Linked DNA regions of Bombyx mori. The main gene of each other region encodes a partner of the protein of the gene in region 2 in a complex. Links are inferred from orthologs where the notes say so. Each region holds a gene or a part of one and is shown on either strand. Other genes may lie near its edges. The genes, in order: RpL27 and RpL6.

Region 1 (4,255 bases), on a different chromosome or scaffold from region 2:
ATCTACAACGAAAATGCGCCACCCACCTTGAGATCTAAGTTCTAAGGTCTCAAGTATAGTTACAATGGCTGCCCCACCCTTCAAACTGAAACGCATTACTGCTTCATGCCAGATATAGGCAGGGCGGTGGTACCTACCCGTGCGAACTCACAAGAGGTCCTACCACCAGTAAAGTATTCGTAGCGAAAACTGACAAGGGCCAGGATGTATATTTATTCTAATAGTGTAAATTTTGCACTAAGCAGAAGAATTGACACATTCAACTTTGATGTATTGAAGGCGAATTGTATATTATTTCGTTTTTGAAAACCAATATTAGGAGACATGAGTAGTGGTCGTTCGTTCATAGTTAATGGATATGAGATGCCAGGGAAGCAAACTCAAGACATTGTCTTTCAACTGGGCTCTTCTCAATCCTTTGAAGGACAAGTCTTAGCACTTTGGACACTAAAGGGAAACTCTTTTTAAGCAAACGCCAGTAATGCAAAAAATAAAGAGATACTAAGAACATCTCAAAAAATTCAATACATTCCTTACAAATAAGGTTTTAATTAAACTCTTTTATTATGAAAAAAATATAAGTAAATAGTGGATAGGTTGTTGTTTCAGTTTGTGCAATAAAACAATGTATTCATTACTCACGTAACGTTTATTTTCTTTTAAAATTACACTTAGAACCTAAGCTTCTGGAAGAACCACTTGTTCTTCCCACTTTTGTACCTCTCTTCAAAACGTACTCGCGTGTTGAAACGCAGCTTCTTACGTTTTGCAGGGTCTTTCAGGTCTTTTGCGCTGAATTTTTCAAAGCTGAAGTCAACTGTATAACGTGTTGGCATCAAGTGATTATAGTTTACAACCTGAAACAGAAAACAGATATTTTCAAATAACTATACAGCAATGATTGTACCTTTTAATGCAGTCCAATAATGATGGAAATTTAAAAAATCAAGAGTTATTACAAGTCCTTCTATTGAATTAAGAAGAAGAAGAATTGTTTAGAAACTCAAGACTTGCACTTTTTTAAATACATGAATACAGAAAAATCTAAAAACATGATTACATCAGTACTTATAATAGTTGATTAAAATTAAAGGAAGAACAGAAGACTATAAGAATCACTAACAAGCACTGTTTAAGATTGTTCGTAAAAATCAAGATAACAAGCTTTTGTTTTTATATTATTATATTAATATAAATCTCTAATACCGTATGTAATAATTGTCAATTGTTTAATTCAATAAGGGACTATGAATCCTTTTCTTTACTACCTCTTGCAATATTCTGTTTTAATAGAAAAATATCCTCAATTATACTTTACATTTAGTGGCAGGGTATGTTGAGTGCCCATTCTACAAATATTATAATCCTCCTCATTTCTAACAGTGATACAGTCTATTTAAAACTGTATGGCATTATGCAAATGCAATCGAATTCATATCACACACTTTTGTACTGTACTGTGTTAAGTATCTGCACTAATATTATGGTATTTATGGTAAATATGTTAAACACTATTCGGGCTGGGGTATATTTGCCAAAGCTAATTTAATAACTGAACAAAACACAGTATTAAAGTCTACAAAAAACAAATCTGTACAGTCATCAAAACACATATATCATTTATTAGTTAAATATTTCATAATAAAGATATTTATAGTTAATTGAAAATTAATGAATGCATTTTACAAATTTGGAAAATCACAATAATGCTGCTCTATTGTAAATTTTTCATTCATGTCTTCTATTCACACAAAAATAACACAAAAGTACTATAAATTTTAATAGAAATCCATTGCTGGACACAATTTTCGACCAAGATTTGCTACACTGACCAGTCCCATGTCAGTTTTATTAACTACACCTGAAATTTTATAATACATTTGAGCAATACTCGTGGATATTATTTTCAATCATGAAGATGATGTTGCCCAAAATTGTTAATAAAATGGTTATCGCATTTATCCTGGTTTGATTTAAATTTAAAATAATATTTTGTTTAGTTTTAGAGTGTCCTGTACACATAATTAAACCTTCCTTTATTTTGGTTCAATTTGGCGTTTTTTGTCATGATATTGTATCTGATCAACACGAGATTACTTAAACCCTAAAAGTAGCACTAATTGAATTTCTAAATATTTCATTTCAATAACTTTGGTCTTAGTAACTTCAGTTCTATCTATTTAGAATAGTTAAATATGGTCATATACTATATTATATACTAATTAACCAGCCGTTAGTTTAATTCAATATTAAAAGGGAATCTTACCTTCACGAAAGGCTTTATCTTGGACCTCTTGTGGATTTTATTCTTTCCCATCCTCTTGTGCACTTTCCGGGGGTACCTGTCGATACCAGCGACGAAAGCATGCCCGTACGGCTTGTCGGAGGTACCTTCGTCGTAATTCTTGACTACGATAGCCTTGCGACCCGCGTACCGGCCACTTAAGACCAGCACTACTTTACCCGGCTTCATTATCTTACCCATCTTGGAGGGATCTGAGAAAAACAAAACTAACCTTAAGATTGGTATTTACAAATTCACCACCAGTATTCAAGGAAATAAGGCTATTTAAACACTCCTTTATGCTTAAACACTTCGTGATTGCTATTTGAGTTTTAATCTACTAGTAAATCACATGTAATGCACTGAAAACAAATTGAAATGTAAGAATAACACAGATTCAAATTCAGTTTCTACGTAAAAGTTTGCAGTGAGAAGGAAAAATATTCACGTTCTTACTATTAGTATCTCACAAATTTAACATACTTGTACGTTTTTAGTTAATTTTTAAACCAATTTTATGGATTTTTCGAGATTATGTATACAACAAAATACAAAACTCACATTCCCTTTACTCGTTGACATAGAAAGAATTAGTGTTACCATTAACAAATTTACTCCAATTTGACAGCTGATTTTTTTTTGACACTTGAAAGATTTCCGATTTTTACCGATGCTCAGGACTTTTGGCGGGAACGTGAGAAGCGAAGTTGTGTGAATTATTTTATTTTGTCTATTTAGTGTTTCTTCAGGTTTAAATGTGTAATAACGGTAGTTTATTAACTGTTTAATATTTGTGAATTCGCGTACCCGTCCTGGTAAAGCGGCAAGGCCTCCGAAACAACCGAATTTATTCAGTTCCAAAAAATCTTACCTGAAGATTAAAGTAGGCTTACCGTATGTTCCTTGTGTAGTCTGTCCGAGATGCGCCGCTTTCGCCGTTGGCAAGCAGAGTAAACTGTAATCCTCGTAATATAGTAGTTAGCCCTTTCTTCGAACATTACAATCCCGATTTATTAGACAAGGAAGGTAGAGCATCGATTATCTGCATCTTGAACTTATCCGTGAGAAGGCAGCGTCAGTAGGCTTCGTTCATATCTAGTCTCTATAGGCGCCTTCATAACAGCAAGGTAACACGATAGTGCCCTTATAGTAGGCACCACTGACCAGTGTGCTTAGACCAAGTTTTTTAACGTTCTCGATAGCGTAAAAGTTAACTCAAATATGTATGAAGTTCGAACGCTTGCCTACGTTTGCCGCTAGGGGTGCTGTTCCAACTCCATAGAAGTTTGAGTTAACTTTTACGCTATCGAGAATGTTAAAAAACTAGCTCTAAACACACTGGCTCACCGAGCTGCCACCCTCCGCCGTCGCCCTAGATAAATCCTGACGAATTCACCTATTCTACTGTCGGTGATGTTGGACGGTTCTGCTAACGCTAGCAGCGACCAAAATATAGGTCACCGACTCGCCGAAGAGCTCGAAGCGATACATAATCTATAGCTTTGACTAAGTTGTTGCTATATCTTGAAAACGATCGCAATTTTGACCCTGTAGCATGACTCATTCGCAAATAAAATTTTTAGGCCTCAGGAGACGTTCAGGTAGTCTTTAGCAAATCTCTACCCTTTCAACTAAGTCCGAGCTCGCTTATATCCGAAAGGTCATGAAAACGCCTTTGGGTAAACATCCATCTTTCCTCCCAAAGAAATAAGAGACTAAGAGAATTATTAAATATGGTAGCCCATATTTTTTTATTGCTTAGATGGGTGGACGAGTTCACATCCCACCTGGTGTTAAGTGGTTACTGGAGCCAATAGACATCTACGACGTAAATGCGCCATCCCCGGTCACCGTTCTCGTCAAACCCGTCGCTTGCGACGAAGGGCTCGACGAGTAAATTAACTCTCAGACACAGCCCACTGAGTTTCTCGCCGGATCTTCTCAGTGGGTCGCGTTTCCGATCCGGTGGTA
Region 2 (4,384 bases):
CCCTACCCTTCAGACCGAAACGCATTATTGCTTCACGGCAGAAATAGACGGCGGTGGTACCTACCCGCGCGGACTCACAAAAGGTCCTACCACCAGTAAAATTCAAATAAGTTTGGGTAAATTAAAGAACCCGCTTTTTTAAGTTTACAATTTCAGCAGTACAAAGTATTGTAGCTATCAGCAACAGCACAATTAAATACCGCACTGAATAACTATATATATTTTCCTTTTTTTATTGCCTCATGCAGCCTGTGGTCCGCCTGATGATGAGCGGTTACTGTCACTCATGGACGTCTAGCAATGCCAGGGTCAGAGCCAAGCTGCCGCTTACAAACTTGTAACTATATCAACATTGATAGCCAAATCAGTGTCTCAATTTTTTTTGTGTATAATTGTATACCCTTAAAAGAAACCAAAAAAAGGATGATTATTATACATACTGCAAAAGGTCCAGTAACTAAAAGCAGACCGCTGGGCAGAATTCCAACAAGTACAACCCTCTTGCCTGCATGTCTACCAGCGAGGAGAATGCAAACAGTTCCTATCTTCAGGTTGGGTCGGATCCTGCGTACATGCTTGCTGAATGGACGGCCACCAGATGAGGCACGGATTCTGGAATAAAAATTGGGAACATTATTACCGTTGTAGTTTTCAGTGTTTGTTTCCACACCTTATCAATGTCCCCTCAGTACAACTAACATTATTATAAAAACCCATTTAAATTTATCACCCTTCCTGATATACAAGAACATAATTACTTCAATTGTATTGCTAATCTATTATTCTCAAACTTAAACAAATAAAGGTAGTTATTTAATGTTTGAAAAAATTGTCAAGTTTAAGGTAATTGAACATATTCTCAGGGACAGTTTTCAATTAATTGAATTTCATGTAAACACCCAGCATTAAACCCACAGATTTTTTTACCTTTTTTTTTATTTTTTTTATTTAGGAGTTTATTTAATGGTAATGATGTTACCGCATAATTCTACATACAATAAGAGGCTAATTGATTAATACACAACTATAATAATAAAATGTCAAGGCTAAGAGACATTGCTCCATGATATTTGAGTGCCTTCTTGATTGTGCATAGTTACTAGGCACTTTCTAACAAGAGATACCAGCACCATATTAATGTTATTATAATGATGTTCTCATATCATTATCATTGGCTAGCAAGTATCAAGCTCATTTAGTATGCATACATTCAATATATGTTGCACATCATCAATAATATCACAATCTCGGCATTTGTGTCAATTAGTTTTACCTCTATACATTCCTTTCTTGAAACTATGGGCCACAAAAGGGTCTGTAACCTGAATCATATATCTGATCTACACAATAATGGAATGGAATTGGAATGCAAAAATTTGCAGAATACTCCCAATGTAGGTAATAGTATAAATTTATAAGTATTTTCACAAGTTCCTTACTTTTTTGCCAGACCTGCCACTCTACAAGGAAAATAAAGACAGGCCGGCCATGTGGCCTCCCAATGTCAGTAATAGTATACATTTATAAGTATTTTCACCAATTGCTTACTTTTTTGCCACTCTACAGAGGTAATAAAGACAGGCCATATGGCCCGCTTGACGTTAAGATGGTCATCATCGCAAATCAATGTCAGAAATGTCAGGGGCATTGCTAAGCCACTACCTACTTATCCTTATTGTACTTACTTCTCCTGAGTGGGGTAGAAGGACTTCCTACGTTTGAGGGGTACTGTTCTGGTTCCCCCATTCTTCTCACCTCCAATCTGCTTTACAACAACAGTCAGCTTCTTGGGCTTCTCAGGCTTAGGGTTCTTTTTGCCAATGAACTTGTATTTAGCCTGTAATTGATTTCAAAATTAGAATGTACAAATATTTTACTTTTCTTCCATAATGTGAATGCAGCATATAACTTAACTCAGGAAAAGTCCATGAATGCCATCAGTGAATGCATGACTATACTCGAGAAAATAAAGTCTAGTTGATGTGTTTGTTTAAAGTGTATAACACTATTTATATAGTAGCGTTTTGGTTAAATCTTAATTTGAATTGCTTAGGTTGATGGACGAGCTCAAGGTCCACCAAGTGTTACGTGTTACCAGAGCCCATAGACAACTACAGCTTAATGCCCACCTTGAGAATCAGATATGAGTTCTAAGGTCTCAGTATAGTTACAACGGCTGCCTCACCCTTCAAACCGAAATGCATTACTGCTTCAGGGCAGAAATACTTAGGGTTTAGGTATTTAAAAAAAAAAGATTAGATTAACAGCGAAACCTAAGTGCACATGGATTTTTGTTTATAAAATTGTTTGTATTTTTATTGGTATAGTTGATTTTAGATTTGCTAAACAAATAGCACGACAATTTTGATTTATATTTGTTTATTAAGAAAATAGGAACTAGCCTTCTTGTGGAACATCTTGGATTTGGAGAAACGCATCACTCCGTTGCCCAGATCATAGTTCCTGGGTTTTTTCGTAGATTTTTTCTTAGTCACCGCACCTGCAGGTGCGGCAGCAGGCTTGGCCGCCGCTTTAGGCTGTGTTGGAGCCATCTGTAAATCGAAAACACAATCTTTAGACCGAACACCTGACTTGACGTTCAAAACTTAGGTTATGTCTATCCAGCCCGTGTTTCCTTGCAAACAAGTAACACTATCGTTACTCGTGGTTATGAATTTGTAGACATAATAAGCAGGCATTACACTACAAATTATATTCAATCAATTCACGACACTTTAACGTCACAATCCTATCTAACCAAAATAATAATTTAGAACTTCCTACATTCCACTAAAATATTTCACAATACCACTTGTTTGAAGGATCCACTATGATATTCCAGCACGAAAACGAAGAAAACGGCTGATTTGGAATCAATTAAAAAGGATTTATTTTCATTAAAAACAACACCAACTCACATTCAAACCGGGTTCAAGAAAAAGGAATCTATGCAGACTTTTTTGTTTATGGATAATGTCATAGTGATGTTACTCATTTATTTTCACATCGATTACATTACCGATTTTTGTTGTCTTTCAAACATTTTTGTGCACACACTAATCTGTATTTTAAACGTTCAATTTAAAAGATTAATTGAAGTAAAAATTCTCAATTGAGTAATTTCTATATTTTAGATAATGACGACTACAATTCCAGGTAAAAAAGAAAAGAAAAAGAAACCCACGTGAAGAGCAACATCTGAACGCATCCAAACAAATGTCAAGAAACAAATTCATTTGGAACGTCAAAAGAATTCAGTTTGCAAAAATGGCTTCTCTGAGGAGCCCGTCTTCGCCATCGGACGGTTATAAAAGATTCAGTGATGATTTCGCTAACACCAGTATCAACAATTACGGCTCGAACGTCTCAAGTAAACGAAAACATTTTTTAATGCACCGTAGCCACCAGCCTAATGTACGCTTTCCTTGTTAACAATACATTAATTGTAATGCAATTAATAATGTTTTTTCAAATTTCATCTCTGTATTAAGCTTCATTTCTGTTGCAACACCAGCTGACGCAGGTCGAACGGTGATCTTTTGTAAAATTGCAGTAAATCCTATATACGTCGAGGATGAGTCATTTCCTACGTGAATCTAACATATGTATATAATAAACATAACGCGACCTAGTTCTTGGAACTAACGTGAATGAGCTTCCGATGGTCTGCTTAATTCTAACGGAACAGATTACGCTGCATGAATAGTTAGCCGCTGTTTTTGTGTTTTTTGTATAGTATTTTAGTGCTTCAAAATCTACTCTAAAGCGTTTGCTATATACATTTAAAAAAAAGTAATTTGACAGTTTACTAATCTCAATGTGTTAGTTTTAACTGTGAAACTCCGAAGAGGTACAATTTTCATAAATAGCCACTATGGTTTGAGCGTGATCGAATGGAACTATTCATTTGTGTATAAATCTGGTTGAAACCACTTTGTTCTGCCCTAATTGTTGACTACAATTGCTAGAAGTATAGTGTGTTGTATGAGACAACTAGAAATTTATTTTTTAAATATGTCAATAAATATCTGCATGAAAATAGAATACCCATCAACTTTAAAATTCGAAAATTGTCTTGTTTACAAAACACAATGATTATAATAATTACTTACAGAATTTAATTTACTTTACGGTCCATAACTTACAAAAGTAGACGTATTTTTTTCAATTTAACCTTGAACTGTCTGATGTGACTTAGTTAAAAAAAAAAACAATAGGTAATTCCAAATACCGTACAATGGGGTAAATAGGGACAAAATCGACCTTCAGATTGAATTTTATAATAGTTCCAATTAAATAGTCACTGCTCAACCAAAGAAATAAGTTGAGTCTTGAACGTACCTAGGTGATAAAAACCGTTACATAATTTTAATTATTCATTTTA

Evidence for each region.
Region 1: RpL6 (region 2) and RpL27 share a complex: the UniProt entries of both Caenorhabditis elegans proteins name them as parts of the large ribosomal subunit. The link is inferred for Bombyx mori from reciprocal best matches to the Caenorhabditis elegans genes rpl-6 and rpl-27.

Annotation. Positions count from the first base shown.
Region 1 is NC_085114.1:13,912,810-13,917,064, forward strand, and holds RpL27 (ribosomal protein L27), read right to left. Parts: upstream 2,856-4,255; 5' UTR 2,846-2,855; exon of another isoform or gene 2,733-2,845; intron 2,647-2,732; exon of another isoform or gene 2,497-2,646; 5' UTR 2,486-2,496; coding exon 2,267-2,485; intron 858-2,266; coding exon 672-857; 3' UTR 631-671; downstream 1-630. UniProt on the Caenorhabditis elegans protein: Component of the large ribosomal subunit.
Region 2 is NC_085122.1:1,367,126-1,371,509, forward strand, and holds the start of RpL6 (ribosomal protein L6), read right to left. Parts: upstream 2,976-4,384; 5' UTR 2,810-2,975; exon of another isoform or gene 2,703-2,809; intron 2,553-2,702; coding exon 2,403-2,552; intron 1,838-2,402; coding exon 1,686-1,837; intron 613-1,685; coding exon 441-612; intron 1-440. Other genes in the region: two pore calcium channel protein 1, read left to right, coding at 3,217-3,370. UniProt on the Caenorhabditis elegans protein: Component of the large ribosomal subunit.